Arabidopsis thaliana: one gene and its partners. The protein of the gene in region 4 interacts with the protein of the main gene of each other region in a pairwise test. Each region holds a gene or a part of one and is shown on either strand. Other genes may lie near its edges. The genes, in order: PHOT2, WAVH1, ALF4 and MAP70-5.

Region 1 (6,804 bases), on a different chromosome or scaffold from region 4:
TGCATTTATACTTTTCCATCTTTGTTAAGTAATAATGAACTAGTACACCTTACCGTATTAGCATCTGGAAGCTCTCTGACAGCTTCATCTACATTTGTTGCCGTAGCTTTCACCTAAAATTGTGACCAATGTCATAGTCTCCTTTGATAGGAAAGAGATGTTCAAAAAACTCAGTAGGATATGAACCACATACCAATTTCGAACTCTGCATCTCTGTTCTCTCAGACAAACGATTTTGGAGGGGCTCTACATGATCACTTCCATCAAGCTGCACACCGATGAAGTATTGAAGCTCTCCCTAATAGATGAATAAAGTCATGTAATCAGCAACAATGCACGGTTTTCTTCAAGAATCGGAATCCAGATATAACAATAATCTCACGAAGACCTTCTGATCACGCATAGGTTGCAAGTGGAATAAGTTCCAGAATTTCTTTCCTGCAATGGTTTAGAGTTTTAATGACACAACCACATAGAAACTTTTCAGTATGATCGTTTTAAAATGTTCAGTATCTGATAACTACCGCTTTTAGTGTAGTTTATCAACTGCACAGTAATCTCCCTCTGATCTCTAATTGCGTCTCTTATCTTCTGGACAGTCGCTTGATCTGTCTCTGGCCCCTGAAGAAACCTGAAGCCAACCACTTTGCACATATCCATATCACGAAACAACAAAAACGCAGCCGGAGAAGACTGCATAACTTAAAAGGCATGATAAATCTCATGAGTAGAAGATACAAAAAGAAGAATTTTCACATACCGACAATTTCTCCCCAATATTTCCTCGCGTGAATACTCTGTCAATTCAAGAAAGCTGTCTGATGCAAAGATCTGCAAATAAAACGATTTCCATTATCAATTCAAGATTATATGCTTACAAACATAGTAGAACACTTGAGTAAGAACAATCAATATATGAAATATACTCTACAATTGATACATTAAGGTTCGAGAAAAAAACGTTCATCTCAATTTTAGACAGAAAAAACATACAATGGGATTATCAGGGAGACGAGGATCACTGATGACGAAATTCTTCTCTATGCGCTCAAGAGTGGTAGCTAGATCAATCCCTTGGCGTATATCCCTTTCTCTATCCGATAGGTCCCAACTGTCCCTCTGCCCTATTACTTCTGTGCTCAACATCAATTCTTCGGGTTCCATACGTAAAAGATCTTCATGCCTGTTATTCGAGCTTTTGAGCTTTGACCTGCACATTACACGAAGCTAGATCAGAAATCCTTGAGTGTATATGTATACATATATATACACAGCTTCAGAATTCACTACCCAATCCATGTCAGAGGATACATTCTAAGGCCCAGCACAAAGTTACAAAAGTACACGAGAAATAAGAAACAGAACAATAGTAGGAGATTGCAACTGCATCTTCGTATTCGAATGGAAATTATCTATGAGTTAAATATTGACTAACACAACAACTAGATTGAGATTGTGTAGTATATATTTTACCACTATTTGGCAATGATAATAGCAAGTTGTTTCTGCAAAACTTTGGCACTGCCATCACACTTTTTGGGCAATATATATGCCTTATTTTATGTTCAGGAAGACTACTGTAATCTGGTGGTTAGTGGTTACGAAGACTCACCCCGTTGGAGTAGAAACACGTCCAGGTGTCCTGAAAGACTTTGAAGCCTCATCTGACTGTCTTGTTTGTCTACCAGGTGTAGGTGTAGTAGAACTATCAGGCTTTACCATAGTGTCATTGCTCACGGATTCCTGAACTTGAGACTTACGATGTCTTATAGTTTGCACAACCTCTGTGATGGAATCCAAAGCTTTCTCCTTCTGGCGAGCTGATATCATCATCAAAACCATTACATGTTAAAGATTGTGGATCAGCACTCTTTGCTAAATTATATCATTGTTTTTGGCTAAAAAAAACTTGTTGAATTAACGAAGAGATGCAAAAAAACAGATACCATCATATCGAATCAAGGATTTGGAGAGTCCATTAGGCCTCAATGCTTTATCATTTACCCCTTCTGTGTATTTGCTAACTTCAACCTGCATCCTGCAGATGGAAATGTGAAAATGATTGATCGAGGGACAGTCGATTAATTAGGGAAAAACAGGGAGGAATTAAGGGACGTACCCAATGAACTTGATGGTATTGCCCTGGTCGTCCTTGATAGGAGTGACTGTGAGAAGATTCCAGAAGGGAGTTCCGTCCTTTTTGTAGTTTAACAGCCTTCCACAGTAACTTTTTCCATTCTTGACACAATCTCTGATTTTGGCAACCTCATTCTTGTCGGTGTCTGGCCCTTGCAGAAACCGGCTGGCGTTTTACCCACAAAGATTAAGAGCATTTCAGAGTAAGTTGGCATGGGTTTCAAAAGCAATATTATTCTAACTAATAACTGGGAATGAAACTAGAAGCAAGATACGAGATGAGCAGTACCAGTTTCTTCCAACAATTTCCTTGGAAGAATAACCAGTCATGGTAAAGAATCCACTGCTGGCATAGACTATGGGACAGTGAGGCTGTGTAGCGTCAGAGACAACAAAAGTCTGCTGCAACGTGGATAGAGCAGTTTTGAGCTCCTGGGATACTCTAGGGAAGGCCCCTGATTCAGAAGATGTAGATTCTTCGGATGACCTCCTAGACATGTTCTTGCTTCGTTCCACTTCACTGGACAGCTTGAAACTAATGCCATCGTCTCCCGAATCCGGCTTAACAGCTGACAATCCCCATTCAGCGGTTCTTTCTGTAATCTTAGCGGAATCTTGAAACTCCATCCACTTACTACTACTACCTTTGTTGTTGCCATCAAGAGGAGGCTTTGAAGAAGAAGAAGTTGATCCATGTGTCTCTTTTCCACTCGAAGGGTTGAAAATCTCAAGAGATCTACGTTCACTTAATGACTCCGCATCATTCAAAGGAGATGGAGGGGCTCTTGGCCTCTCCATAACGTTTCTTTATTCTCTTTCTTATGGCGAAACAGAGTAATGAATAGTCTGCAAATCAAAACCAGACACCACATAGACAAGTTAGATAGAAAGAAGAGGCAGACACAACTGTAGGTTCGAGAAACAAAGTAATAAATGCCATTAAAAGTCTTTAGAAGCAAATCAACAAAACACGTTAAAGAAGGTGAAGTAGATAAAATAAATGAAAAATATATATATACCAACCAGAGTAGCTTTATCAGCTGCAACTCATGGAAATATAGTACACAGTCTTTAAAAGGAGCAAAGACGATGAGAAAGATAGAGAGATAGACCAATTAAAAAACACAACTGTACTGTTTCCAAAACCCAGTTATATTATTATTTGAGTTATTTTAAAAAGACAATCATGTTTCTGAGGCTGCAAATGAGCGATGCGGAAGCCTGGGAGGATAGACATCGCTATCAATAATCAAACTCACATGGACCCTTTTTCACCCTCAAGGTCAAGGACCACACAACTCTGTTTCCTCTTAATACGTGCACTCTTGTTCATCATTCCCTCTTCTTTCACAAATTTTCTTCATAATCAAACGAATTTATTACACCCCTCACATCAATTTTTCCAGTACAATAATTCAGACATGTTTCAATGTAAAATGAATAAACAATAAATAGATAAAACCCAGTAAACTTACGATTGTAGTAGAACAGAACATGCGCCATGATTTGATTAGACGAAAAATGAACACGTTTAAGAAAATGACTGTGGCTTCTTCTCTCCCAGATGCTTTCGCAGACGACGAATCCACAATTTGTTTCTTCTTTCACTGTCTGTTTCAAATAATGTCGATGAAATTAAAGAGAAGGGACCCCTAAAAACTTGTTAGGCCTTATTATTTTCCCGCTAAAAGCCCATTAAGTCCTAGTGGGTCTTCTCTAATGGGCCTTATTAGTTAAGATTAAGAAGTAAGGAAAGTGAGGGAGAGGCGAGGGAAAACTGAATCCAACTGAAGCAAGCAGCAATGGAGGAAAAAAGCAGCGGCGGCGGCGTTAGGCTTCACGTCGGCGGATTAGGAGAAAGCGTCGGGAGAGATGATCTTCTCAAGATATTCTCTCCGATGGGTACCGTCGATGCCGTCGAATTCGTCAGGACCAAAGGTCGTTCCTTTGCCTACATCGATTTCTCTCCATCTTCCACCAATTCACTCACCAAGCTCTTCTCTACAGTGAGTGAATTCGATCTCTCTCTCTCTCTCTCTCTCTCTCTCTCTCTCTCTCTCTCTCTCTCTCTCTCTCTCTCTCTCTCTCTCTCTCTCTCTCCTTACTCTTGTTATTCTTAACCCTAATTCGATTTTGGCAGTATAATGGATGTGTCTGGAAAGGAGGGAGGCTGAGACTGGAGAAAGCAAAAGAGCATTATCTAGCTCGCTTAAAGCGAGAGTGGGAGGCAGCGTCTTCTACCTCTGATAACACCATTAAAGCTCCCTCCGATTCACCACCTGCCACTCACCTTAACATCTTCTTTCCCAGACTCAGAAAGGTACTACTAATGCTCCTTCAAAGTTGTAACATTTATATGACATAGTTAGTACTAGGAGTAGTAAGAGATTAGGGTTTGAGCTACGTATGTGTGGTGCAGGTGAAACCTATGCCACTTAGTGGAACTGGTAAACATAAGTATAGCTTTCAGCGTGTTCCAGTGTCGTCTTCTCTTCCAAGGAGCTTTTGTGATTGTGAAGAGCACTCTAACAGCTCTCTCACTCCTCGGGAAATACATCTTCATGATCTGGAAGCGGTTAATGTGGGAAGACAAGAAGCCGAGGTGAATGTTATGAACTCGGTGATGAATAAGCTCTTTGAGAAAAACAATGTGGACCCCGAAGAAGACAATGAGATTGAAGCAGACCAAGATAACCTCATCATCAATGTGGCATCTAGTGGCAATGATATGGACTCAGCGCTGGATATGTTGTCTAGAAAACGGGTACGTAGTGCTACTTATATTTTTTCTATTATACTTAACCCAATAATGAGTCATCTACCTCATCCCTGATCTGGCTCTTTCTTTGATTGTAACTCAGAAATCAATTCTCAACAAAAAAACACCAAGTGAAGAAGGATATAGTGAAGGACGAAAAGGGAACCTTACTCATCCAAGCAAGAATAGGCAAACAATCAGCCTAGAGGAAACTGGAAGACAGGAATCTTCACAGGCCATACGTGGAAAGAAGAAGCCTTCTGAAGTGGTACCAGATAAATCATCGGATGAACCGAGCAGAACAAAAGATCTTGAGCAGTCAATCGACAATATTTCCTGGTCCCAAAAGTCTTCCTGGAAATCACTTATGGCAAATGGGAACAGCAATGATTTTAGTGTATCCAGTTTCTTGCCAGGTGTTGGCTCCAGTAAAGCAGTACAACCTGCACCACGCAACACTGATCTTGCTGGGCTTCCTAGCCGAGAAAATTTGAAGAAGAAGACGAAAAGAAAGCGTGTAACGTCTACAATCATGGCAGAGGATTTACCTGTATCAGATGACATAAAGAGGGATGATAGTGACACAATGGCAGATGACATAGAGAGGGATGATAGTGATGCTGTGGAATATTACACAGCTTGTGAATCTATGGCAGATGACACAGCTAGTGACTCTGTGGCTGAGAGGGATGATAGTGATGCTGTGGAAGATGACACAGCTATTGACTCTATGGCAGATGACCCAGCTAGTGACTCTGTGGCTGAGAGTGATGATGGGGATGCTGTGGAAAATGACACTGCTATTGACTCTATGGCCGATGACACAGTTAGTAACTCTATGGCTGAGAGCGATGATGGTGATAATGTGGAAGATGACACAGCTATTGACTCTATGTGCGATGACACAGCTAATGACGATGTAGGTTCAGACGACTCAGGATCACTTGCAGATACTGTTAGTGACACAAGTGTTGAAGCTGTCCCCCTGGAATTTGTTGCAAACACAGAGGGCGATAGTGTGGACGGCAAGTCGAATGTGGAGAAGCATGAAAATGTAGCAGAGGATTTGAATGCAGAAAAGGAAAGCTTAGTCGTGAAGGAAAATGTTGTAGATGAAGAAGAGGCGGGTAAAGGACCGCTGAAAGCTAGTAACAAGTCAACAGGAGGTTCTTCATGGCTTCAGAAGGCTTCGTGGACTCAGCTGGTTAGCGACAAAAATACTTCTTCATTCAGTATAACTCAACTCTTCCCAGATTTAACTTCAGACAAGGGCGAAGCAGCTGGAGTGATCAACAATGTAGGAAACCAGTTCTCCAACTCTAACCAGACTGCAAGTGCAATGAAACAAACAGATTACGCATCTAGCAGCGGTGGTTTTGTGGCTGCGGGAGTCCCTGTGGATAGTACCCCTGTGAGAAGTTTAGATGAGAATCGGCAGCGTCTGAATGGTAAGAATGTGAGTGAAGGAGCTAAATTGGGTGCGAAGAAGAAGATAATTAAGAGAAAGGTTGGGTCGGGGGATACTTGCACATTTATGAGAAGCTCGACTTCTTTGAAAGAGTGGGCAAAGGCTAAGAAGGCATTGAGTGAGCCCAGGAGAAAGAAAAATAGCGAAGAATGAGTTAATACTATCAGAGGCTCTTCAAATTATGTATCCCTCCACAGTTTTTGTGCTTAACACAATACAATGTTTTTTTTAATTCAAGGTTTTAAGGTACACTTCTATAAAAAGCATTTCTCATTAGATAAGATCTTTTTGATGAACTGAACTTTGACGTCAACAACAAGCATGGATACATGTATTTTTTCTGAAGGTTTCGTATACAATAAAAAACCTCATGAAGCGATCAAAAGAGACTGATGATTCATTTTTCTTTTTCTTTTCAAAAACGTCGTCTTGGGATTTCCAA
Region 2 (6,565 bases), on a different chromosome or scaffold from region 4:
AATGCTAAGCCTGCCATAAGGCAAATGATCAACCTTCAGAGTTCAGAGATATATTATGAATCTCATCATCGATATTCAATAGACAGACAGAGTTTTCATATTTTACTTGAGTAATTGCATTTTAACTGTTGCACCTAAGTATGATTATTCACACAAAATTTAAAGCGTCGAGCACAACAATGCAATAATTTACTACCTCCACAAATACTTTGCTTGCATGAAATATGACAATAAAACGTTTGGTATTTTTAAAACGCAAGAAACCATACTAGCATAATAGTAGTCAAAGTGTGATTAGTCTATGAAAGTAGCTTAAGACTACACCAATAATATGTGTCTGGTCCTATAACATACTACAAAATAGCCAAACACGTAGGTATGCATGCAAATGTACGTTAAAAGCTGTAACAAAAACAGACAAACAAACAAAAAAAAAAGTTTGGCGAAAAAAGGTGATAGGTATCAATAACTAGTTGAGATGGGATAGAGATAAATTTTAAAAAATGGACCGACCTATTACAAACAATTTAATAAAAGTAACACAAGAGTACAGAGACTAAAACAGTAGCTATGGTTTTCTTTTGGCGTCTCTGTAATAAATTGGTTTCTGGGGATCTTCGTCCTATCTCCCATGCCATTCACTATCAATACATTTATTGATGCCTTCATTATCATCTTTCTTTTGTTTTTTTGCCGATCACTTTATTTTTTTAACTCGTACCATATTCTATAGCATTGATCCTCTTGTAGTCGTAGGTCGACTTTTGTTTTTATTTGATAGTAACACTTATGTCCTTGGTGATATGTATTTTTCAGAAATGCTTTTTCGATTTATTTAAATGTGTACCCTTTTGTCGACCAAAAAAACAAATGTGTACCCTATCTTTAGTGTTTACTTTGTAGTTTGTACAAAAATACGTTTTTATGTTCGAGCAAGTTTACTTTTGACAAAGAAATGTTATTATAATAATAATAATAATATATTGAAATATCAAAATTTTGTGTGTAAATTTATTTAATTATTTGAAAATTTCAAAAATTTCCAAAACAATACGAGTAGCTTTGCTTAAATATATCTAAAAATACACAAAATAACTAAAATATCCAAAAAAATCCTAATATTTTCTATATATAAGTATAAATATAACTAATATATACTTATATTTGAGATATGTTCGAATTTTTTGGATTTTAAAGTTTAGAACCGTTCGGGTATTTTAAAAGTTTGGTTTCGAGTTTGGATCGGATTTTTCGGATCGGGTTTTTTGGATCGGGTTCGGGTATTATGCACTGGCCTAGATAAAAGAAAGAAACCATTCATCACCTATAACATTTTTACTGCATCCACCGTTATTATCAGTATACGAACATTACCTCAGTTTCAGCATTATAGCTTAGCAATAAATAGCTGAAGAAATGTAGTTGGTATTATTGTTATAGCTTAGCTAGTGGTGGCAACATGTTTATTTTCTATTCACCAGGTGATGATGGCTTATCGGATCAAGTCTTGATTCGAACATTAAATGTTTTACATGGATCGATATATAAACAAGTTAAAATTGGCTCACATCCATAGATCGATCCCATAATCTATGCGTTTATACATTCACTGCACTGTATTAATTTAACCCAATCATATTTGCTCATCTACTACATTAAATTCTGTCAAAGTTTCAATAGTGTGTTACACAATAACGGTCAAACAACAAATGATTCTCCAATAACAACTATTTAGACAGTCAAAAATTTTAGCGTGAGACTAGACGGATCGATAGGGCATAATAGCATATATGTATAGCCCATACATTAATAACTAGACATTATTACAAAAATTTCGGTGCTAAACAAGTTTTTTTTTAATGGACCCTTTTATTAGATTACTTTAAATAAACCGATGTTAAAAATCTTGTTTACAAAAGTAATAAAATGCGGTTGGATATGAACATTTCGTGCTAAATAATCTGTTTTAACATTTTAACTTCAAAAAAATAAAAATAAATATAAAAATCAAACACATCCTTGTCTTCATGAATCGCCTCTAAATACGTAGCAAAGATTGGTCACTTTGTTGGAAAAGACACCACTTTTATCAAGTCTGAGGAATCTGTAAAGAACGTTACTTCTTGTTTGTCTTGACCAATCATACATCTTATTGTTCATACGAGTGAACGAGTGCTTCCACTTATGTAAATAGACATGTGAGACTTCTTCGTAGGTTGACATCACCTATAGTTGGATATTTTCTTGTTGGTAAGTTTTTAGATAGCCAAAATACTATTAAACATTCATAAGCAAGTGAAAATATTTATTTGAACGATTTAACTAAAATGTTGTTATGTATTTATACAAACATATATATTTTTTTATACATATACATGTTATTTTACTAAATAACGTTTTTGTCCAAAGTTTTTTTTACTGAATAACGTGTAATCAAATAAAATAATAAAAGAACAAGGGATCTCTTCTTGATAAAATATTTTGATTTCATATAAAAGTAGGTGATATCTATAAAATAAATTTACAAAATGTTTTAGTTTGTGAATGAACTTCAGAGTAAAATTGTAAAGTTAAAAGTAATTTTACAAATTTAAATAATTAGTTTAGTTATTTAGCAGATACATATAGTCAGTCTGCTATCATAGCATTTAGGTTGAAGCCTTTAAGTTTATCTTGTTCAATTTTTTATATAATATATATATATATATTTTTAATCTAGGTGGTAAACAAGCTTTATCACTTAAAAGGTTAAAATGAGTGGGGCAATAATAGATGTAGCTCATAAGTTCTATGTTGAAAAAGATTAATACCAAAAATCAATCATTTTCTTATAATCAACCATGGAGTAGAAAAGCAATTACACAAATAGAGTAACTTCTAAAATATTTACAGCTTTTTAGGTAGTCAATTACTATTAGTACTATTTCTTAATTCTCTCAATAAAATAAAATAATAAAAAATCATATAGATAATCCCAATATCCCCAATCTTCCACTATAATTGAACAAAAAAGACTCCTTTTTAAATTCAACCTCTCCCACCTTCTCTCTGCAACTCTCTCATTTTCTTAAAATCTCTTTCTCACAGAACCAAAAACCAAAATCTCAGTCTCAAACAAACAACAACAACACACGAGTCACGAGGTTGAAGAAGAAGAAGAAGAAGCAAATATGTTAAACGGCTGGAGAAGAGCTTTTTGCACTTCCATTCCCAAAGAAACTAACCAAAACGACGTCGACGACGACGGACTCGTTGGTCTCCGCCACAAATCAACCTCTCGATTCGGCTTTTTCTCAACTCCTTCTACGCCTCGTTCTGATTCCGGCACCGGAACTTACAGCCTCCGTTGCAGGACTTCAACAGCCACCGCCGTCTCCACTACTTCATCTCTTCCCGGAACTCCAAAGCTTAAGTGCAAAACCACCACCACCGGAGAAACAACTCCCAGAAACAGAAGCCTTGTCTCTCTTTTAACACCTTCTTCTTCTTCTATTTCTCCGGCGAGCTTCACTCTCCTCAAATCCAAACTCCGATTCAAGCAGAGTAGCAGTAACAAATGTGGAATCTGTTTACAGAGTGTGAAATCAGGTCAAGGTACGGCGATTTTCACGGCGGAGTGTTCTCACACGTTTCATTTTCCTTGCGTAACCTCACGCGCCGCCGCGAATCATAACCGTCTTGCTTCTTGTCCGGTTTGCGGATCCTCGCTTTTGCCTGAGATTCGAAATTACGCTAAACCGGAATCTCAAATCAAACCGGAAATTAAAAACAAGTCGTTGAGAGTTTACAACGATGACGAAGCTTTGATTTCATCTCCGATATCTCCCGCCGGATTTCACACAATACTTGAATCAGATGAGAACGAAGACTGCGAGGAGTTTACAGGATTTTCCGTTAATACTCCGTCACCTTTAACGGCGAAATTGTTAACGGATCGAAACGTGGACGTTAAGCTCTCTCCGGAATCGGCTATCGTTGCGTCGGGTAAAGGCTACGAGACTTACTCCGTCGTCATGAAGGTGAAATCGCCACCGTTTCCGACGGCGCGTGGATTTGCGCGTAGAGTGCCGGTGGATTTGGTTGCTGTTTTAGACGTAAGCGGGAGAAATTCCGGTGGGAAATTGGAGATGTTGAAACAAACGATGAGGATTGTGCTTTCGAATCTCCGGGAGATGGATCGTTTATCGATTATTGCGTTTTCGTCCAGCTCGAAACGGTTATCGCCGTTACGGAGGATGACGGCGAACGGGAGGAGATCGGCGCGAAGAATCGTAGATATCATCACCGTTCCTGGTTCTGTCTCCGGCGTCGGAATTGATTTCTCCGGTGAAGGGATGAGTGTGAACGACGCGTTGAAGAAAGCGGTTAAGGTGTTAGACGATCGCCGGCAGAAAAACCCTTTCACCGCCGTGTTCGTTTTAACGGACCGTCAAGCCCATCAAGTGGCCCAATTAGCCCATTCGAGAATCCCTATACACACCATATGGCTTAGCCACGCGATTCCCGAAGACGCGTTTGCGAGGACCATCAACGGTTATTTGAGTTTGTCGGTTCAGGATCTCGGTTTACAGCTCGGGATAGTTTCCGGGTTGGGTCAAGGAGAGATAACTTCTGTTTACTCTCTTTCCGGTCGACCCGCTTGGCTTGGAACCGGTTCAATCCGGTTAGGTGATATGTATGCGGAGGAAGAAAGAGCGTTGCTGGTTGAAATCAAATCACCGGTTAACAATTCCTTAACCGGTAGTAGATCTCACAAAATCATGACCGTTAGATCTCGTTACGTGGATCCAACAACTCAGGAATTAAGAAACCCCGAAGATCGCGCGCTTTTAATACCTACTCCTCTAACTGTCCGATCATCATCAAATCCCAACATCTCACGGCTCAGAAACCTCCACGTCAGCACTCGAGCCGTCGCGGAGTCTCGGCGGCTAATAGAGCGTAACCATTACTCCGGAGCTCATAGATTGCTGACGTCAGCTAGAGCATTGCTTGTGCAGCACGGTTTGAGCTCGAGCGATGCGTGTATACGTGGACTGGACGCAGAGATAGCTGATCTTAATAGTGTGAAAGGAAGACACGTGGCGGCATCAGAGAGTTTGGAGTCGCTTACTCCGACGTCGGCTTGGAAAGCGGCGGAGAGGTTGGCTAAAGTGGCGATGGTGAGGAAACATATGAACAGAGTCAGTGACTTGCATGGTTTCGAAAACGCTAGATTTTAGCTTTTTTATGTATTTAAATATATTTCCATATTTAGAGTAACAACTTGTGTAATAATAATCTGATACAAACAAATAGAAATGGTGCATAAATGGAGTTATATTTGGTCAAATGATAAGTTTGGATAGTTATTTTATATCATTCAGCTTTTATGCGATTTCATTTCTCACCGTAAAGTTGATTATACAATTTTGGTTAGGGAATTAGGTAGTAGGTTTTACCAAATCAATCTTAATATTTAAAATTGTATAAAGAACAAACTATATATTAAGCCACTATCATATACACTCAATACTAAAATCTTACACGCTTAGAGAAACTCGTGTAAAATGTCAATGTAAAATGAATTTTAGCAAAAAAGAAAGAAAAAGAAATCAATGTAAAATGAATTGGCCGGTGATATTTGACTGAAAACATGACTAGAGCTCTTCCATTTGTTTTGTTGTAAAATTTATACGCATTCGAAATGCTTATAACATACATTAGTCGTGTTGAACATGGTATGATCTTTTCTTTTACTTAATTAATCTCTTATGAGAACTTTTTATATATATATTTTTGTGCTTTACAATTATTATAGTGAAACTTTTTAGATAGAGCCTATATTCTATGTGTACTTCTTCGTAATGGATGTGTAGATTATAAATACTAAAATGTAGTCAAAAACAAGGGATGTAGCCTTTTCGCGGCTACACACTGATTAAATTCGTTGTATCCAATGATGGTCAACAAAATATTTTCTAAGCAATACAATAAATCAGCAATAAACAATTCTAAAGAAGCCTTATAAATATGATTGCAAATGCTAATAATTGAGTTTAGGATATCATTTTAACGGCGGAATTCTGTCTCCTTTTTGTTTGTCTCGTAGGCTTTTTACACCTCTCTTATCATTTTAACGCCGGAATTCATAGTACTATGAATCTATGATTGCTAATGAGTAATGCCACATCTCTTTTGGGAGTCGCTTGCGTTACGCACAAAATGCATCATATTTTCCCAATTGTCTAGCAATTAGCCGCAAAAGATCAATGTTTACACAAGATTCAGTAGGTATCTCGATTGATCGGTCATTATCTATAGTTTTATCCGAAATTAACTAAAGAAACTTATCAACTTCTTAGATAAATTAATGGTTGTAGAAACCCCTTGACTTAGTAGTTGATTTTGTGAACTTTTAAGACAAGATGCGAGATATGAATCATATGATTTACGCATAATTCATATATATTTTTTACATTATGGATACAAAAAGTTTAAAGTTGTTGTAGATAGATCTGTCGTTGGATGGTCTCGTGTATTCCAAACCGGTTAAATTTATCTAAATGTAAGTTTATCTTAGAAA
Region 3 (8,397 bases), on a different chromosome or scaffold from region 4:
TCGGAAATTTCCTCCGGATAGGGAATATAATTTCGGTATTAAGGGAAATATATCATATCAATATTAATGTATGGGTCGACAAAATATTTACATGCCATGGATGTATACATATGTCAATCAATATTGTGATAAGGTTAAATATGTTTTTTTAATTATGTCTCTTATGTAAATCTTCTGGTAGAATTAGTTCACGTTAGTTCAATTTAAACAGGTATCATACAATAAAATCTCTGGTTCATAAACATTGATAAACCAAAAATTTACATCTTTGTTTTTCAAAATGAAAGTAGATTTATAGAATCTAAATTTATAGAATCTAAATTTTAAACATTGATAAACCAAAAATTTAAGTCTAAGAAAAAGTGTAGGGATACTTTAGACTTGACTTTCTAAGTTCTCCATCCAAAATTTTAAAGTAAAAAAAGTAAGAGAAAAGAAAAAAAGACTTTTTGTTATAGAATCTAAAAAAGCTGGTTTATATGTTTTTCCACACTTTTTAAACTAGCAGGATATGACTGGGGCAAACACGAACCATCGATGTGTAGACCATGAACTTAACAAGCTCCGTCTAATTACTGCGGTTAGATCATATTATATAGGGATTAGCAACGCTTGACTTTATATTCAACATGACGACTTCATTTCTGTTTTATCAATCCATTTAGCAAATTATGTATTGCTTTTTTTTACTATAATTAAATCTATTAGGTATTGAATGAATTCTGTTCAGGTAAAAAGAATTCGAATATGGATAAGGTTGGGTGGTCCATTCTGAAATACATATGCATGAACTGAAATATTTCATGTTATGAAACTATAGATTAGATAGTTAGTTGATATGTAACTATAATTCAAATTTTAAGAAACTACTATCACATGTTAGGTGACCAATGGGTTTGTCTCGAGACATTAAAATATATTTTCTTCCAACACCCAAGAAAGGCCACTATTAGCTATTATCTTTCTAATTATGCATATTGATTTGTCCTGAAGTATCTACCAGAAATCATGTTCTTTAGTCTTTTCATTTCAAATTAAATTACAGAATCTTAAATACGAGATGTGTTTCTTCAGTACTTGAAACATTTGTAGGTGAAAGATTTAAGAATTGTGTAGAATTGAAGTTACAGAAAATGCCGTTGAATTAAACGGCTTAAGATTGAGGTGGAAAATAGTAAGGGACCTTGAACGTGTGGTGCTGTGAGTAGTCTACATAACTATCAGCTCTGCGGATGCTTATAGCTCCCTTCTCCAGCCATTGGGTCGACATAAGCGTAGGAACTTAATTAGGTGAACCAAGACTTTGTATGCAAGTATTATGATCAAGTCATGATCACCAGCTGATAAACACTTGTCTGAGTTACTTTTGAAAGATTCTATAAGCCAAAAAACACGCTTTGGTGATCAAGACTTTGTATGCAAGTATTATGATTGGCTGATCCTAAGCCAAACCAATCACTGAGCCTGCTAAATAGAAATCTTTGGCTTGTGGTCTTGGCAATACACAACACAACACTCTTTTGCAAAAATGAAAGTTGGAAAGAAAGTAGAAGCAGGAGCAGGTTCACAAGTGAATGGGTTATCACTTATCAATATGAATATAGGTCAAGCAAAGTGCCACGACTCAAGTTGGAATAACCAAAGTTGCAGGAAAATATCAAACAAATTTTTTTTGTAACTAACAATGAGCCTACAATTGAAGTTCTCACTATTTTTTTGACTAATGACTTTTCAACTTTTCTTCCACGAGCTCGATGCATCGATATAGAACCAATTCAATTGGGTTCAGAAGCCCTACATCGTCGAGTGAAGATTCTTGGCCATGATCCTCCTTGAGGTTCTCAGCGATGCTGCAGCTCACAAGAGTTCGAAGAGGCAGAAGCCATTCCTTATACGCTTTCTCCAGATTCTTCTTTGACAAAATATCACTGCCGACTTTGCTTCTCTCTTTACCTGCTTCACATTCTATAGCTTTGTCTTGTCAGAAAAACACCACAAGAACAAGAGAGATGAAATGACAAAACCGCACTGCCTACTAATTTGCAATATTTTAAATAGTCAGATTTCCTCCATTTACTTGGAAGGAAATGAGATAAAGCAAAGTACATTTTCAACTTGACATTTTAACATTTTAGAGGGTATACGACTTTTTACCTCTCGATTCAAATAACAGTGCAAACCTGTAGAGGTTAAGTGCCGCCAGGATCTGCACAAACATCACACAAAGACTTTTGTTACACAAATGTGGTTAAATAATCGATCTTCAAACACAACCATGTTTCTCCTTATTTTCGTTCTGACCCTCTGATTCTTATAAATAGTGAAAATTCTGGGGTCTTTTGTTATCGCAGTTTTCCTTACGACAAGTTAGAAAACAATGCAACATCATAAAATTCCTTAATTAGCGAGAAAAGCAAGCTACTCTCATTTGCACAGAAAGGGGCATTTTCTCTATTTCTCGGTATGTATGTAATGTTTGTCCTTTTAAGCATTTACCTTAACCCATATCATTGCATTGCCTAAAGGGCTTATAGTATGCACATGAAAAGAGAAACAAAACATACTTTTAAAGAATTGATATAGGAAAAGAAAAGATCACCGCATCACTCTGGTCCGGAAGGAGTGGAGGACCTCCCTGTGGAGGCCTTAAGACCAACTCCACTAGCTCAATAACATGCGTATCAACAGCCGCACAATCTGTATCTTGCAAACTGCTTTTGCTCATGCTGTCTTTAACTAGACCCAGAAGGATTGCTGTCTGGTTGATTTAGCAAAAGATATTAGTTGAAATGGGATACCTTTCTCTTTTGGAACCAAATGTTTAAAAATATTATCTCAGTATGACTACTGAAGACATTAAACTATGCAGTTTATGAATGGTCAACGCCAAAGGTGACCATGATGGCATTTACTATTCATAAAGCTCAGTGGGATACAAATATACTAACCATTGAAGGAGACCGGGAATTTGTGACAAGGGCTCTTAAAACGTCAAACCTATGAGGAGCTGGGATATCAGAAAGAACCTAATCAAACAGCACAAAAGTAAGATTGTAAGACGAGATTATTAATCATCTCTGTTTAAACTTTAACCAAGCCCAATAGATAACTAAATTTCTGAATGAAGAAGATATGTTTTTAAAAAAGTATATGAAAAGAAAGAAAAGCAAGGCATATGGACTGAGGGTAGTCATTCTGTGTCAAAGTTGGCTGATACCTCTTCTACTTATAAAATATAATCAGCACAAGTCAAATCATCTGAATTGGTTAAACCATCATTTCTGTGTAAAAACATCAATAACGAGTATAGATCTAAAGAATCAGAATTTTGAGGAAACAAAAGCCATTCAAAAGTTTGTGTTGTTCGTTCTTTTTTTGTGGATTCATGCTTCATATAGTATCAATTCTGCGTCACTCAAAATCAGTTATCCAAATTTTGATTAAGTCAAGGTTTATTTACCCTCTTCAGTGCCTCAAATGTCTTTTTCCTCAGATCTGCGTCTGGCGCATACATGATCAGTAATGTAACAGCCTGGTTGAAAGAAACGAGACACTTGGAGCGCTAGTAATTGGTAAACCTGAATGGTGTAAAGATTAAGGAGAAGAATATTACACCTGTAAAGTAGCGTAGATGCCAGGCGTGTAGTCCGAACAATCTATTTGCTCATCATTGCATTGAGATGAAGTAACTCCTTTTGTTATGTCAAGCAAGAACTCGATAGCATGTCTTTTGAATTCCCAGAGCAGATCTCCAGAGGAAAGTATATATTTCAACATCCCATAAGCTTGCCACCTTTTCACTGGATTGTTTTGAAGCTCATCAACAACACTTCCTAAAACCGCATTAGCCGCCTCTGCAACCTCATGGGAGATCTTTGCACAGATGAATAAAAGCGATGCACCCAAGCTGATGTCAGGGAAAGAGGTGATAAACTCATCATCATCTGTTCATTTTACAACCATGAGACATGTGATACGAGAACAGATGCGTGTTATTGAGAAATCAGGAAGAAGTGTTTTTGAGTATTGAGAGTAACCTCCAGCAACCGTGCTCATTAATTTTTCAGTGTCATTCCCCGTGATTAAACCAAGATGTGTTAAACCACAGGATGTCAAGAACGGTTCTAACTGAATCACCAGAGGAATACAAGAGGCCGCTTTGTCTCTGATGCTAACTGAAATAATAGCCTGCAAAACCAGACCAAATCTAAGGTATTGAAGAAAATCTATATGCTCATAATAAAAGAGAAAAGTCAGAAAAGTTCCATGATATCGAAACAAAGTTGGAATCAAGTACAAACCGTTATCTGTATCACATAGAGACAAAGTAGACAACGGACTTTTGCTTCTTCTTCGTTATTCTGTAAAACAAAGAAAAGAGATCAAATCAGGCAAAACGAATATTCAAATTAGAGAATTTACACTTTGGGTAGTGATTTAGGGAATCCTAATTGCCAATTTATCAAACTTACAGACCAGTTTTGAAGAAACGTCTCGAATTGAAGAGGCAATGCCTAGAGCCTTATCAAATAAATCTTCAACTTGCACGTCTGTTTCCAATGAAATGTCCTTCAAAACGTTCAGGACAATTGGAACTGCAACCTTTAATTGCTCGTAGTGACGCCTCTGGATCAAAATAAATACTGAAACCAGGAAATTTGAATAACTTTTTACTGCTTCAGTTCACGAAGACTAAATTAATATCTTCAGTAACAAAACTAGTTAGGGATTCAAACACAAACTTTAAGATATTCATACTTAAGTACAATCAAAGCAAGAGTATTACTAAAATTGCAGGTGCCAAGCTAAAATTCACTTTCATGAGAGAAGTCTATAAATTTTAGGATATTCATACTTGTGTACAATCAAAGCAAGAGTATTACTAAAACTGCAGGTGCCAGGCTAAAATTCACTTTCATGAGAGGAGTCTATAAATATCTTGAAAACGAGAAATCTTCAACTGGTACCTTTAGAGAGCCCATGCAATAAAGGAGTAGAACAAGTGGAGGCTGAATGATAGCACCGTGCAGCATCGAGTGCCTGGTTCAGAGTCATAAGGTGATCAAAAAGAACTTGTAATCTTCTTATGCCAAATACCAAGAAGGAAAAAGAAATTCCAGATCAATTACCTCACAAAGAATTGAAAGCATATCCCGTGGATTGCATGCTTCCACAAACCGATCAACGATTTCCTCAACTAACTGTAAACATCTGCTTGATATGTCTGCAAACTTGGAAGTTACTTTTGGCAAGTGAAATGACAGTGCATCTATAACATCCTGTAATAAAATGAATCGGGGAACAAAATCATAAGCTTGGTTCTCTAAACAAAATCCTTCCGTTTGGCTTTGAAAGCGATTCGAAAACTGAAAAGTACCTGATCCATTTGAGGAGATGATAAAACTTTCAAAATTTCATCTAATACTTCTTCAATAACATCGTTCTCCAGTTCATTGTTAGCATCCAAAGCTACGTTCTCATACAAAGAATCCAAACAGCTGACAAGTTCTGTCACAAAACTCTCAAAGTCTTGAAATCCTCCGGCTTCTTCAACTGACTGAAAAATCACAAAATTAGCGGCGAATTTTTCATTCGAGCTCCAAAAATCACGAAACAGCTAAGTATTCATCGATCTCAAAGCATCTAGAAATTCCACCCAGAAAACAAATTACACAAACCCGAAACGAGGAGAAGAAGAAGAGAGAAAGCTTACACTGAAACACAAAGCTAAAAGTTCTCGTACACGACGCGAAGGAGAAGTAGTGACAGTAGTTGACTCGGAGCTCCCTTCAATGGACGATTCCATAACGCCAAAACTTTTCAATTTCGCCCAAGTTTCGTTCACAGTGAGAGTATTAATAATCGCGAATTTAACCATATCGTTTGGTTATATGAATAGAGTTTAACCCCGGATAGTCTAATTCTAACTAAGAATAGTTTAATACCTGTACCCAAACAGACCACGTTCTCTCTCTCAACACTTTCTCGTTTTCGTCTCCTTCAGATCCGGTGCACTCACGCTCACCGAAAGATCCTCACTCTCCTTCTCTGATCTCGCCATGGAACCTGACGTCAGTATCGAGACTTTGTCGATCATTCGGATCGCCGTCCTTCCGATCGGCACTATTCCGCCGACGCTTCTCCGGGACTACCACTCGATGCTGCTCCGTCATCACACGATCGCGCTCTCAGCTATTAGCTCTTTCTACACTGAACATCAGAAATCTCCATTCACGAATCAGCCGTGGGATTCCGGCTCTCTCCGGTTCAAATTTGTGCTTGGTGGTTCTCCTCCGAGTCCTTGGGAGGATTTTCAGTCTAATCGGAAGATGCTCGCCGTGATCGGCCTTTGCCACTGTCCCTCGTCCCCTGATCTTGATTCTGTCACTGAAAAATTCAATGTCGCTTGTAAGAGTTATTCCTCGGCTCTTGTCCGGCGCTGCTTCGCTTTCTCCCCTGGCGATTCGCAAGTAAGTATATTAGTTTCCATGCTTCTTATCTGCTATGGCATTCTTAGCTCGATGCCGATGGATCTAGCTAGCTTTTTTCTGATTTGTCTCTACAGTTGATAGTGATGTCCATTTTTTGTACCAGTGATTTAGTTACTTGCTTATGGATGCGTTAGATTGACGATTTACTGAACAATGTACTGTCTTTTGCAGCTTGAAGATGGAGACAAGAAGGGTGAAAATTTGATTTTGTTTCCTCCATCTGACAAGCAAACTCAGGAGTTTCATTTACAAACAATGATGCAAGACATTGCCGCTTCGCTGTTAATGGAATTTGAGAAGTGGGTTCTTCAGGCAGAATCTGCTGGCACAATTTTGAAGACGCCTTTGGATTCCCAAGCTAGTCTCAACTCAGAGGAGGTTTATGTCTAGGTGTCCTATAATTTGGTCTACGTTTCATTTCTTCCTCTGGAAGCTTATAACTTATTAGCATAGTCTTCTAGGCTCACTAGTTTTGTTTAATGCAGGTTATTAAGGCCAAAAAGCGTAGGCTGGGACGTGCACAAAAAACTATAGGAGACTATTCCTTGTTGGCTGGTTCACCTGTTGATGCCAATGCTCATTATTCTACTGCTCTGGAACTGGCCAGATTGACTGGAGATTACTTCTGGTATGCCGGTGCCTTGGAAGGCAGTGTTTGTGCCTTACTGGTAAGGCTTTATGCAAATATATCTCTAAATGCATTGTTCTTACATTTTTAATAGTATTATAGTCCAAAAACATGGATAGTGATGTGCTGTTTATCGAAAGTGCACTGATTATGAAATTGCTCTCATCTGTCCCTCTTTAATTAAGTTTGCAATCATCTTAGTTTTCCGTTTTCTTAATATTAGGTAGATCGGATGGGTCAACGTGATGTGGCTTTAGAAGATGAAGTTAGATATCGATACACTAATGTTATCTTGCACTACAGAAAGTCATTTATTCAAGAAATTGCTCAGAGGTAATTCTACCAACCTGTTTGGCTTTCTTCTTCGATAAACTTAAGTAATAGCAATCAATTCTCTTCCTTGCAGAGTTTCGCCCCTAAGCTTTGAACTCGAAGCTACCCTTAAGCTGGCCAGATTCCTTTGCAGGTATCATTGTATGCTCTCTATTTCTTTAAATTATCATGGTGTGGTTTCCTTTCTTGCCGTCTCCTGCTTAAGTTTAAGGTTGCTATGGTATTTTTGTCTAGTAGGAAGCTATATCGCTACTAAAATTTAAATATAAACTCATGGGATCTTGTGTGTGTGTGGCTTTGATCCTCTAAAACTATCTGCAACATTCAACTTATAATACCAATATATTGAGATTACTATTAAGTATTAAGTGGCCTAGTGGAGGATGGCTGTATGTTAATGTTTTGTGATTGATGGTGATGTTAGCTGGGAAAAGAATAATTATTACGTTTTGAAAAAGCTAAAATACATGGGTTTTCCGTTTAGTATGAAATGATACTCTCTGGTTGTGGCAGCTTTTATGTTTTTTTAACCTTCTGGTTGCATCCTCATTTTTTTCTTGGTATCTTTGATCTTAATCATTCTTACAATGTCATTTTATGTGTTGTGCAGGAGGGAACTGGCTAAGGAAGTAGTAGAGCTATTAACAAATGCAGCTGATGGTGCAAAGTCTTTAATTGATGCCAGTGATAGGCTCATATTATATGTTGAAGTAGCGCGTTTATTTGGAGCCCTTGGTTATCAACGGAAAGCAGCCTTCTTCTGTAGGCAGGTCGCCCAATTGTATTTGCAGCAAGACAATCGATTGGCTGCTATCAGTGCCATGCAAGTTCTCTCTATGACAACTGATGCATACAGAATTCAAAGTAGGGCATCCATGTCAAAAGTGTCGGTTAACAATGTGAGTTTGCCAGCATAGGCATTATTTTTCCTCTCTTGTGTTTGAT
Region 4 (7,225 bases):
CCTTGGAGAGATTATTGATAACCAACCCACACAAGAACTCTCCCAAAAAAGTTGTCTTTGGGACAAAGACAAATGTCTAGAAGAAAAGAAAAACAGTTGGGGCAGGCTTGATTATTTGTCAATTGTGACTTTAAATTTAGGTTAGACTTTGAAACATAATATTAAAAAAATAAAGACATTTGTAAAGAAGAAACGTCGCATACCGTACTGATATTTGACCAAAGATTGATCAAAGATTGATCAAATTTATTAACTAGAAGAAGAAAAGAAGAAGAAGAAAGAAGGATTAGGCAAACAAGTAATTTCTACTATTATATAAGCAAGGAGATATATAATTAAGGAGTCATATAATTTGACCAAAAAAGATAAAAGTCAAATTATGGAAGAGGCATTTTTACTTATAAAAAAGCAAAATAAGGATCTCATATTCTTAATTTATTCAACTAATCCATTCATTTTTGTGTGTGTATATATATAACACATCCTTGCTTGTTCCATTTCTAAGCCAGTTGGTAGTTTTTCACATATATACGACCTTGAAGATTAAAGATGAGGTTCTTGTTGATGAGCATGACGTTGGTATTAATTGTGACGTTTGGGGAAGCATTTAGTGATAGATGGAGCAGAGATGAGATGGTGGAGATGGCTGGCTACGGCGAACAAAAACTCTCCTCTGTTCTTCTCACCGCCTCTCTTCTCTCTTCCTCCTCCTCCCCTATTCATGGTACGTAACCAGTTGGTAATAAGTGGATTGGTCCGTATTCCTTATATTATATACTACGAGATTTCTAACACATCATCATCATCATACAGGAGCTACTATTGGCTTCAAGTGCCATACTGGACATAGGAGGAGATCTAAATGGATCAAAGCTGTGACAAATGAGTTGGGGCAATTCGTCATCGATCTTCCTTCTCACCTCCACGCGATTCCTGACTTAGACAAGGCTTGTATCATTAAAACACTCTCTGTCCCTAAACCGTATCGATGCTCTTCCAAGATTCACAGAGGTATTCAACTCCTCTCCTCTTCCAACGGCTCTCGTGTCTATACAGCTGGAAATATCACCTTACAAGAGAGCACCATGTAAAAGAGACTGTAAATTAATCTTGCTAGGAAAGATCAGTCCTGACTTTATTTCTATATGGTTCCTTCTCACTTCTTGTGAGAAAGAGAGATAGTCTTTGTAAATCTTGTTCTTCATGCTCTTCTTGTATATAATAAAATTTATGTTTTCTTCAAGCTTGGATCTTCTTGCTACTACAGAGATCATACGATCCTGTAACTGATTATGATATATATATTAGATGCAAAGTTTGTTATGTTAGCCTAACAACCAAGGCAAGACCAAAAAATCTGAGAGAAGACATATATGGTTATGTATGACTTTGAGAGAGAATATGCATGTTTTTGTGTTTAGCTGATTCTGATTTACTTATAGGTTTCCAAGATAATTGCTAACATTCAACTAATTGGTAGGAGAAGAGAGAGGAGTTTTGTGTCATCATCTGGAAACATGGCTTTGCAATCCGATATACATAACACACATACACATCTCTTGATCTTTAGTTTTCACTTTCTTATAATCCATCATCCAATACTCAATATGTACAGTACAACCTAACATTAGACCATATTCTTTAGTATTCAATCCCATAAGCTTCTTCTTCCTCTACTGGCAACGTGGATTGGGTATGCGGCTGCACAACATAGCATAAACATATAAATATCAACTGTCTTGATGTTTGACTATGTATACTTCTCAAAAGACAAAGACAAACAACAAAGGATGTGATGACCAAACCTTCTCGGTAGTTTTGCCTTTCTACATAGTTTTGACTCTTCATTCAACATTGCCAATGCGTTTTCCTTTTCTCTCGCTGCGGCTTCCCTCTTTGCCTTCTTTGTCTCAACTTCAATGGCTTTCGTTAGAGCATCCACCTTCTTCAACAACATCTAAAAACAGAGGTATCTTAAGAGGTTTCATATAGTTGAGGATCTTAAACAACCACAAGAAGATGATGAAGTTACCTTGATTTCTTCATTTTTGGCATTTATAGTACCCTCTTTACTCTCACATAGCTTCCTTAAAGCAATCACTTCCTTCTGAAGCCTGTCATATAAAAACCCTGAAACCATATCTTCAGAATAAACATTTCCATCTTCCTCTGTTTTCCTTTCGCTATCTTCTTCATGTTGATCAGTCAATCCGTTTGCAGTAATCTTTGAATTCTCCATTTCATCACTTTCCCCAACTCTGTCAATTGGCTGATTCATAGCATGGATTCTGCCTGTAACTGAGCCTCTTAGCTGAGAACTAGACCTTTTCTTTGAGCCACCACCACTGGTCAAGAATCCTAAAATCTTGCCAGATTTTTCAGTCTTTGTAGTTGGAGAGACGAAAAACGTGTTTGGGCCCTTCAAGCCATCTTCTATGGTTTTCAGCCTAAGCTTTAACCTCTCCTATAATGTTTACTTGCATTAGAAACTACACTTTTTACCAACAGAATATTAACTACATAAGCAATCACCTTTAGCTGGGACTCAGCCTTAGCGGTTCTCTCGGAAACAGCGAGTTTATCTTTCAATTTCTGCATTTCTCCCTGCACACAGACACAAAGTTCAACACTAATGTTTCCCATATAAGCTAGTCAGTGTGTATTAACTGGATGTGTAAGTGAAAAGCAGTGAGTACATGGAGAATCCTTCTCTCTTCAAGCCATTGCTTTACAGGCATGACTCTATCGTTCTCATCTTTCCACTCGTTAGCAACTGCAAGTGCCACTCTACTTGCTGACACTTTGACTCTGGCTAGCTCTCTCTCTAAGGTTCTCTTCTCATCCTGGTAACGATGAAAAAATCATGTGATTTTCCTTTAAAACAAATGTGAGAATGAAGTACAAGAAACTAAACAGAACACTTGCATTGAGCTGGGAGATTTGGCGGCGATAGTCTCGAACTGCATTGGCGGCTGTTCCTCCTGCCAAGATCGCTTCCTCCAGTTCTACAATGCTTTGGGAGAGCTTCTCAATCTCCAACACTTTCTGGCGGTTAATTTTCTCAAGAAACTTGTTCTCATCCTGGCATATCTCAATCTGTCGTCGAAGTTCAAAGTTATGGTTCTGGACCTCTTCAACAATCAAAGCACGTTCAAGGGCACTTCTCAAGATTCTCTCTGCTTCAAGAAGCGCCGATTCTTTTGATTTTGTTAGACGTTCCAACGCTTTCTTGTCCTCTTGAAGTGCAGAAATCTGTCAAACAGTAGCATGTCAAGAAAATCTGGCACTTCACACTGATACAAGAAAGAAATTTGAAATACATATAGTCTTAAGAACCTCATGCTTGTGAATCTTGATCTGAGATTCAAGAGGAGCTATGATGGATTCTAGGGGTAGAGAGTCATCGTCCTGTTGGTGAGTGTAAACCCTCCTTAGTGCTTCTTCTGCAGCGTCCTGTGCCGCCAATGCATCTTCCTTCTCTTCTTCTAGCTTCTTCCTCTCCAACTCCTACAATCATGTCACAAGCTTAACTTATTCTAGTCATTTCTAATGTTTTGACATGAGTCCTTCACAAAGATGGTCTATAGTATTTGAGCAAAACCTCACCTTTTGGTCAACTTGATTCTCGGTGGCTCCAAGTTTCTCCTCCAACTTCCTCACGTTTTCTCTAAGCTGAAACAACACCAAGTAGCATCAATAGAGCTCAAGAAGCTCAAAAAGGACAGTTTGAATATGGAAAACATTGATCAAAAAAACTTATAGGTAAGATTGACTTAAAGTTTTTGTAGAACAATCACAAACAGAGTTGATGATCATCATGCATGTTACCTCCTTAAAGACTCTGTCTTTGAGCTCTTCATTTGTTCTCAAAGCCTCAACTTCAGCTTTAGCAGCCAAAAGCTCTTTCTCTTTTTCTGCAGAGTGGAATTAAAAGAAAGCAGAACAACCTCAACATCAAGCAAATTACTCATAAGGGTTGATGAACAATAAACAGAAAGAAAAATAAGAACCTTTAAGCTGGCTTTGCAGAGAAGAGGTGTCAGATACAAAAGGGTTTTCTGCTGCAGTCATTTTGTAGTCTCAACGGCTCCTCCTTCTTTGTTGCAGTATAGAAGATGAGTTTTGGTCTAAGCAGAGGAGAAATGGAGTCGTTTAATATATACACACACACTTTCAGAGAGAGAGAGAGGCCATTCCTTAAAGGAATTGACGTTGAAAAAGAGAGAGGGAGAGAGAAAGAGAGAGTTAAAAACTTACTAACTCTTTTTCCTCATTCTCAAGCAACCGTCTCCATTTCAAACCCTTGAGACAGTAACCAACCCTTCCCTCTTCTTCTTTCACTTTCATTACCCATTTACTAAATTCATATTCATCCTCCCTTATCTTTATTTTCAATTCTGAAATGCTTACAAGTTATTGACTTGTTCTGTTTCACTAATTATCTTCTTAGTTACACCGAGCTTGTCCTTAACATTTGGTTCATCATCATAATTACCTCATTCATGTTTTTCATGTTCCAACATTAGTGGTGTAGTTAATATTATTTTAAAGGGACACGGCGTGAAAATACAAAAAATAAAACAGCTACCACAAATGGAAATTAAAATAAAGAGAAGAGAATATAATCCAAAGGAAGTTGGAAGGAGAAGCAGCATATGACAGATATAAAGACACTAATCATAAGGATAAAGATAATTTAAATGATTGAACTAATTTCGTTTGGTGAAAACCCTTTTCTTTCTTTCCTGTTTCTTTATAATAAAAACCTATATTGTATCCCCTTTTTGTCTTTATCGTTTTTGATAAGATTATATGAATGTAGGTAACAACAGATAACAATTATGATAATCTTGAAATAAAACTAAAGCTTAATCATCTTCTAAACATGTATTATCCAAATGATTTTTGTGTTGCAGTTTGATTAATAGAAAGAGTAAGAAAGAAAAGTTGAAAACTTGGAAGAAGGAAAGCAAAGTGTGAAAAGGTGTTGCCTCAGCAATTAATAGCTTAACCGCAAAATATTGCACAAACCAAGCTTTCTTTGTATTAGTGGAAGTCACTCAATATCTCTCTTTGAATTATTAAAAATTAATTGGGATTTTCTCTCTTCTTTGCTTCCAAGTCTTAAGGTTTGGTTATTATTAAATCAAACAATGATAGAGAATTAGACAAAGAACACTTAGCAAGTATAATATAGAATCAACTGAGGTAAATGACCAAATTTGGAGAGAAATTAGGTGAATAACAACAATTAAGTCAATGGCAATATTTTATTTATATGAATATGATTCCCTAACAAAAACTAAAATCATAGATCCAAAATTCTAAACTCTTAACACATAAAAGTAACATGTTAGGGCAAAAAATTACTCTCCTGAATTTTGTTACTGAGTGCAAAATACTCATTAGTATATTGTTATTAAAGGCAATAAAGGAAGCTTGAGCCTTAGAAAAGTAAAGAATAAAATGAAGGCAATGACCTGTACTTGTTCAATCCATGGTTTTGTGGGTTGGTGAGCTCCTTTTTAAGACCTTATCAGAATTCAGAACCCAATCTGACCTGTAGATTTGTCTCATATTTTGTTACCTCACGACCTTTGTTCAGCCGCCAGTTGACTTATACCGGTATATATAGAAGAAGATCATAAAATGACCTAATCAATGTTTTGGTTATATTTCATTACTAGCAACCCACCCACAACCACATGACAATTTACAAGAGAAAAACAACCACCAGGTTTGGTTTGTATACATATATAACTTAGGTTGTGTTACAACTTAAAACATCATTGCACATCCTAAAAAATTTACAGCGACAGATGTGTTTTTGTTGTGCTCTTCTTTATCCACTCAAGTAACCATCATCACTATAACTTACCCAATCTAGTTTGGGTTTGGCTTCCACACGGAACATGTAGCCATGGGTCGTCTCTTCCAGAAGAGGTAGAGCGCTCCTTCATGGCCTCCCAGTTTGTAGTTTTTGTCATAAGCTTTCAGCATCTCACTCGCTGCAAACGCTGCAGATGTGCTGACCGGCCAACCCGTGAACCCAGCCATCATCATTCTGACCCTCCATATCCCCAGTACCTCGTGTCTCTCTACTCTCTCTGACTCCTCACATGCTATCATGTTCACTATGTCTCTTGCTACACAGTGTTGTTCTGCGCTGATTCTCTGCTTATCATCCCGTGGCCGTGCTGCATCTATCGACTCAAACATCGCTGTGTAGTAATCCAGTGTTTCCACAAACCGTGACAGGAATGGCGAGGTGTTTGTGTTGGATTCTTGCTCTACTAGAGTAACCAGTTTTGGGGAGAGGCTCTTGATCAGATGCAGCAGCCTGTCTCTGTGATTTTCAACACTTACGCTCTCGTCTGGCATGTGGTGTAATACATATGGGAAGTTCACAACAACAGCAAAGCCAGGTTCCAACCCGAGATGTTCCCGCTGCACCTTGCACCCAGACATGATGGCATCGTGAAACTCAAACGGGACACCACATGACTGCGCCAAAGTTGCAAGCCTCTCACCTACCAAGCTGAGTCCTCCCCCACGAGCATAGGTGGACTGTGAATCATCCACACCCGTCACACGCAGCAACGGCGGCCCACCAGGGCGTTTCGCAAGCTCCTGAATCAAAAACATGTATTGTGATCCCTGTGCAATCTGAAAATCGATAATGTGGACTCTGGTTTCCCCAGCTATTGCTTCCAAGATCTCAACATTCGCAGTTGTGTACGCGAATTTCCAGTAGGGGCAGATTTCATAGAGAACACTCATGTAAGACATCAGTTCCCTTCCCGTTGGTTCATTGCATTTCAAGGATTTGTATATATTGCTCCCAGACCCCTCAAGCCTCGCTCTAAGCCCTTCTGCCATGTAAGTGCCTAGCCGTTGGATCGGACTGCCTGAGACTGACACCATCTGTTCCAAGACATCAAGGAATCCATACGCTGTAGCGAAATCCCCATCAGCGACTGCCCGAGCAGCCTCCACCAGCACCTCTTTCAAGTCCAACTGTGGAGTCAAAGCCAAAAGTTCATCCCAGTTCCACGACTTCCCAGCAGCGGGGCTAAAACCTGAGAATTCTTCAACTTTTGTATCACCACTCAGCAGCGAGACCTCAAGTTCCCGAATCTTACTCTTGACTCCAGCTTCATCATAGGCAAGAGATGACACCCCACTCAAAGGTGATCCATAGACGTTGTCAGGGGAATGATGGAGA

What was found.
Region 1: the proteins of MAP70-5 (region 4) and PHOT2 interact in a two-hybrid assay, tested with the Arabidopsis thaliana proteins (one large-scale study listed by BioGRID).
Region 2: the proteins of MAP70-5 (region 4) and WAVH1 interact in a two-hybrid assay, tested with the Arabidopsis thaliana proteins (one large-scale study listed by BioGRID).
Region 3: the proteins of MAP70-5 (region 4) and ALF4 interact in a two-hybrid assay, tested with the Arabidopsis thaliana proteins (one large-scale study listed by BioGRID).

The regions. Positions count from the first base shown.
Region 1 is NC_003076.8:23,520,901-23,527,704, reverse strand, and holds the start of PHOT2 (phototropin 2), read right to left. Parts: upstream 3,881-6,804; 5' UTR 3,612-3,880; intron 3,576-3,611; exon of another isoform or gene 3,495-3,575; 5' UTR 3,160-3,494; exon of another isoform or gene 2,983-3,159; 5' UTR 2,935-2,982; coding exon 2,426-2,934; intron 2,303-2,425; coding exon 2,120-2,302; intron 2,039-2,119; coding exon 1,947-2,038; intron 1,821-1,946; coding exon 1,613-1,820; intron 1,211-1,612; coding exon 994-1,210; intron 832-993; coding exon 761-831; intron 632-760; coding exon 525-631; intron 439-524; coding exon 389-438; intron 299-388; coding exon 194-298; intron 114-193; coding exon 54-113; intron 1-53. Other genes in the region: ROS3 (RNA-binding (RRM/RBD/RNP motifs) family protein), read left to right, coding at 3,939-4,142, 4,277-4,456, 4,556-4,900, 4,998-6,515; AT5G58120 (Disease resistance protein (TIR-NBS-LRR class) family), read right to left, coding at 6,778-6,804. UniProt on the Arabidopsis thaliana protein: Protein kinase that acts as a blue light photoreceptor in a signal-transduction pathway for photo-induced movements.
Region 2 is NC_003071.7:9,642,263-9,648,827, forward strand, and holds WAVH1 (Zinc finger (C3HC4-type RING finger) family protein), read left to right. Parts: upstream 1-3,007; 5' UTR 3,008-3,170; coding exon 3,171-5,222; 3' UTR 5,223-5,393; downstream 5,394-6,565. UniProt on the Arabidopsis thaliana protein: E3 ubiquitin-protein ligase involved in the regulation of root growth. Acts as a positive regulator of root gravitropism. Possesses E3 protein ligase activity in vitro.
Region 3 is NC_003076.8:3,489,273-3,497,669, forward strand, and holds ALF4 (aberrant root formation protein), read right to left. Parts: upstream 5,902-8,397; 5' UTR 5,879-5,901; coding exon 5,714-5,878; intron 5,558-5,713; coding exon 5,378-5,557; intron 5,280-5,377; coding exon 5,130-5,279; intron 5,041-5,129; coding exon 4,968-5,040; intron 4,644-4,967; coding exon 4,477-4,643; intron 4,362-4,476; coding exon 4,302-4,361; intron 4,189-4,301; coding exon 4,038-4,188; intron 3,945-4,037; coding exon 3,616-3,944; intron 3,533-3,615; coding exon 3,461-3,532; coding exon of another isoform or gene 3,446-3,460; exon of another isoform or gene 3,431-3,445; intron 3,027-3,430; coding exon 2,949-3,026; intron 2,759-2,948; coding exon 2,600-2,758; coding exon of another isoform or gene 2,567-2,599; exon of another isoform or gene 2,207-2,566; coding exon 2,155-2,206; coding exon of another isoform or gene 2,132-2,154; exon of another isoform or gene 1,966-2,131; coding exon 1,721-1,965; 3' UTR 1,516-1,720; downstream 1-1,515. Other genes in the region: TRS120, read left to right, coding at 6,060-6,470, 6,663-6,869, 6,977-7,159, 7,343-7,452, 7,526-7,585, 8,063-8,351. UniProt on the Arabidopsis thaliana protein: Required for the initiation of lateral roots independent from auxin signaling. May function in maintaining the pericycle in the mitotically competent state needed for lateral root formation.
Region 4 is NC_003075.7:9,655,335-9,662,559, forward strand, and holds MAP70-5 (microtubule-associated proteins 70-5), read right to left. Parts: upstream 4,243-7,225; 5' UTR 4,072-4,242; coding exon 4,011-4,071; intron 3,915-4,010; coding exon 3,829-3,914; intron 3,673-3,828; coding exon 3,607-3,672; intron 3,508-3,606; coding exon 3,337-3,507; intron 3,253-3,336; coding exon 2,926-3,252; intron 2,844-2,925; coding exon 2,697-2,843; intron 2,605-2,696; coding exon 2,533-2,604; intron 2,465-2,532; coding exon 2,033-2,464; intron 1,958-2,032; coding exon 1,806-1,957; intron 1,702-1,805; coding exon 1,674-1,701; 3' UTR 1,318-1,673; downstream 1-1,317. Other genes in the region: AT4G17215 (Pollen Ole e 1 allergen and extensin family protein), read left to right, coding at 550-724, 814-1,091; SCL13 (SCARECROW-like 13), read right to left, coding at 5,884-7,225. UniProt on the Arabidopsis thaliana protein: Plant-specific protein that interact with microtubules and regulates microtubule dynamics. May play a role in anisotropic cell expansion and organ growth.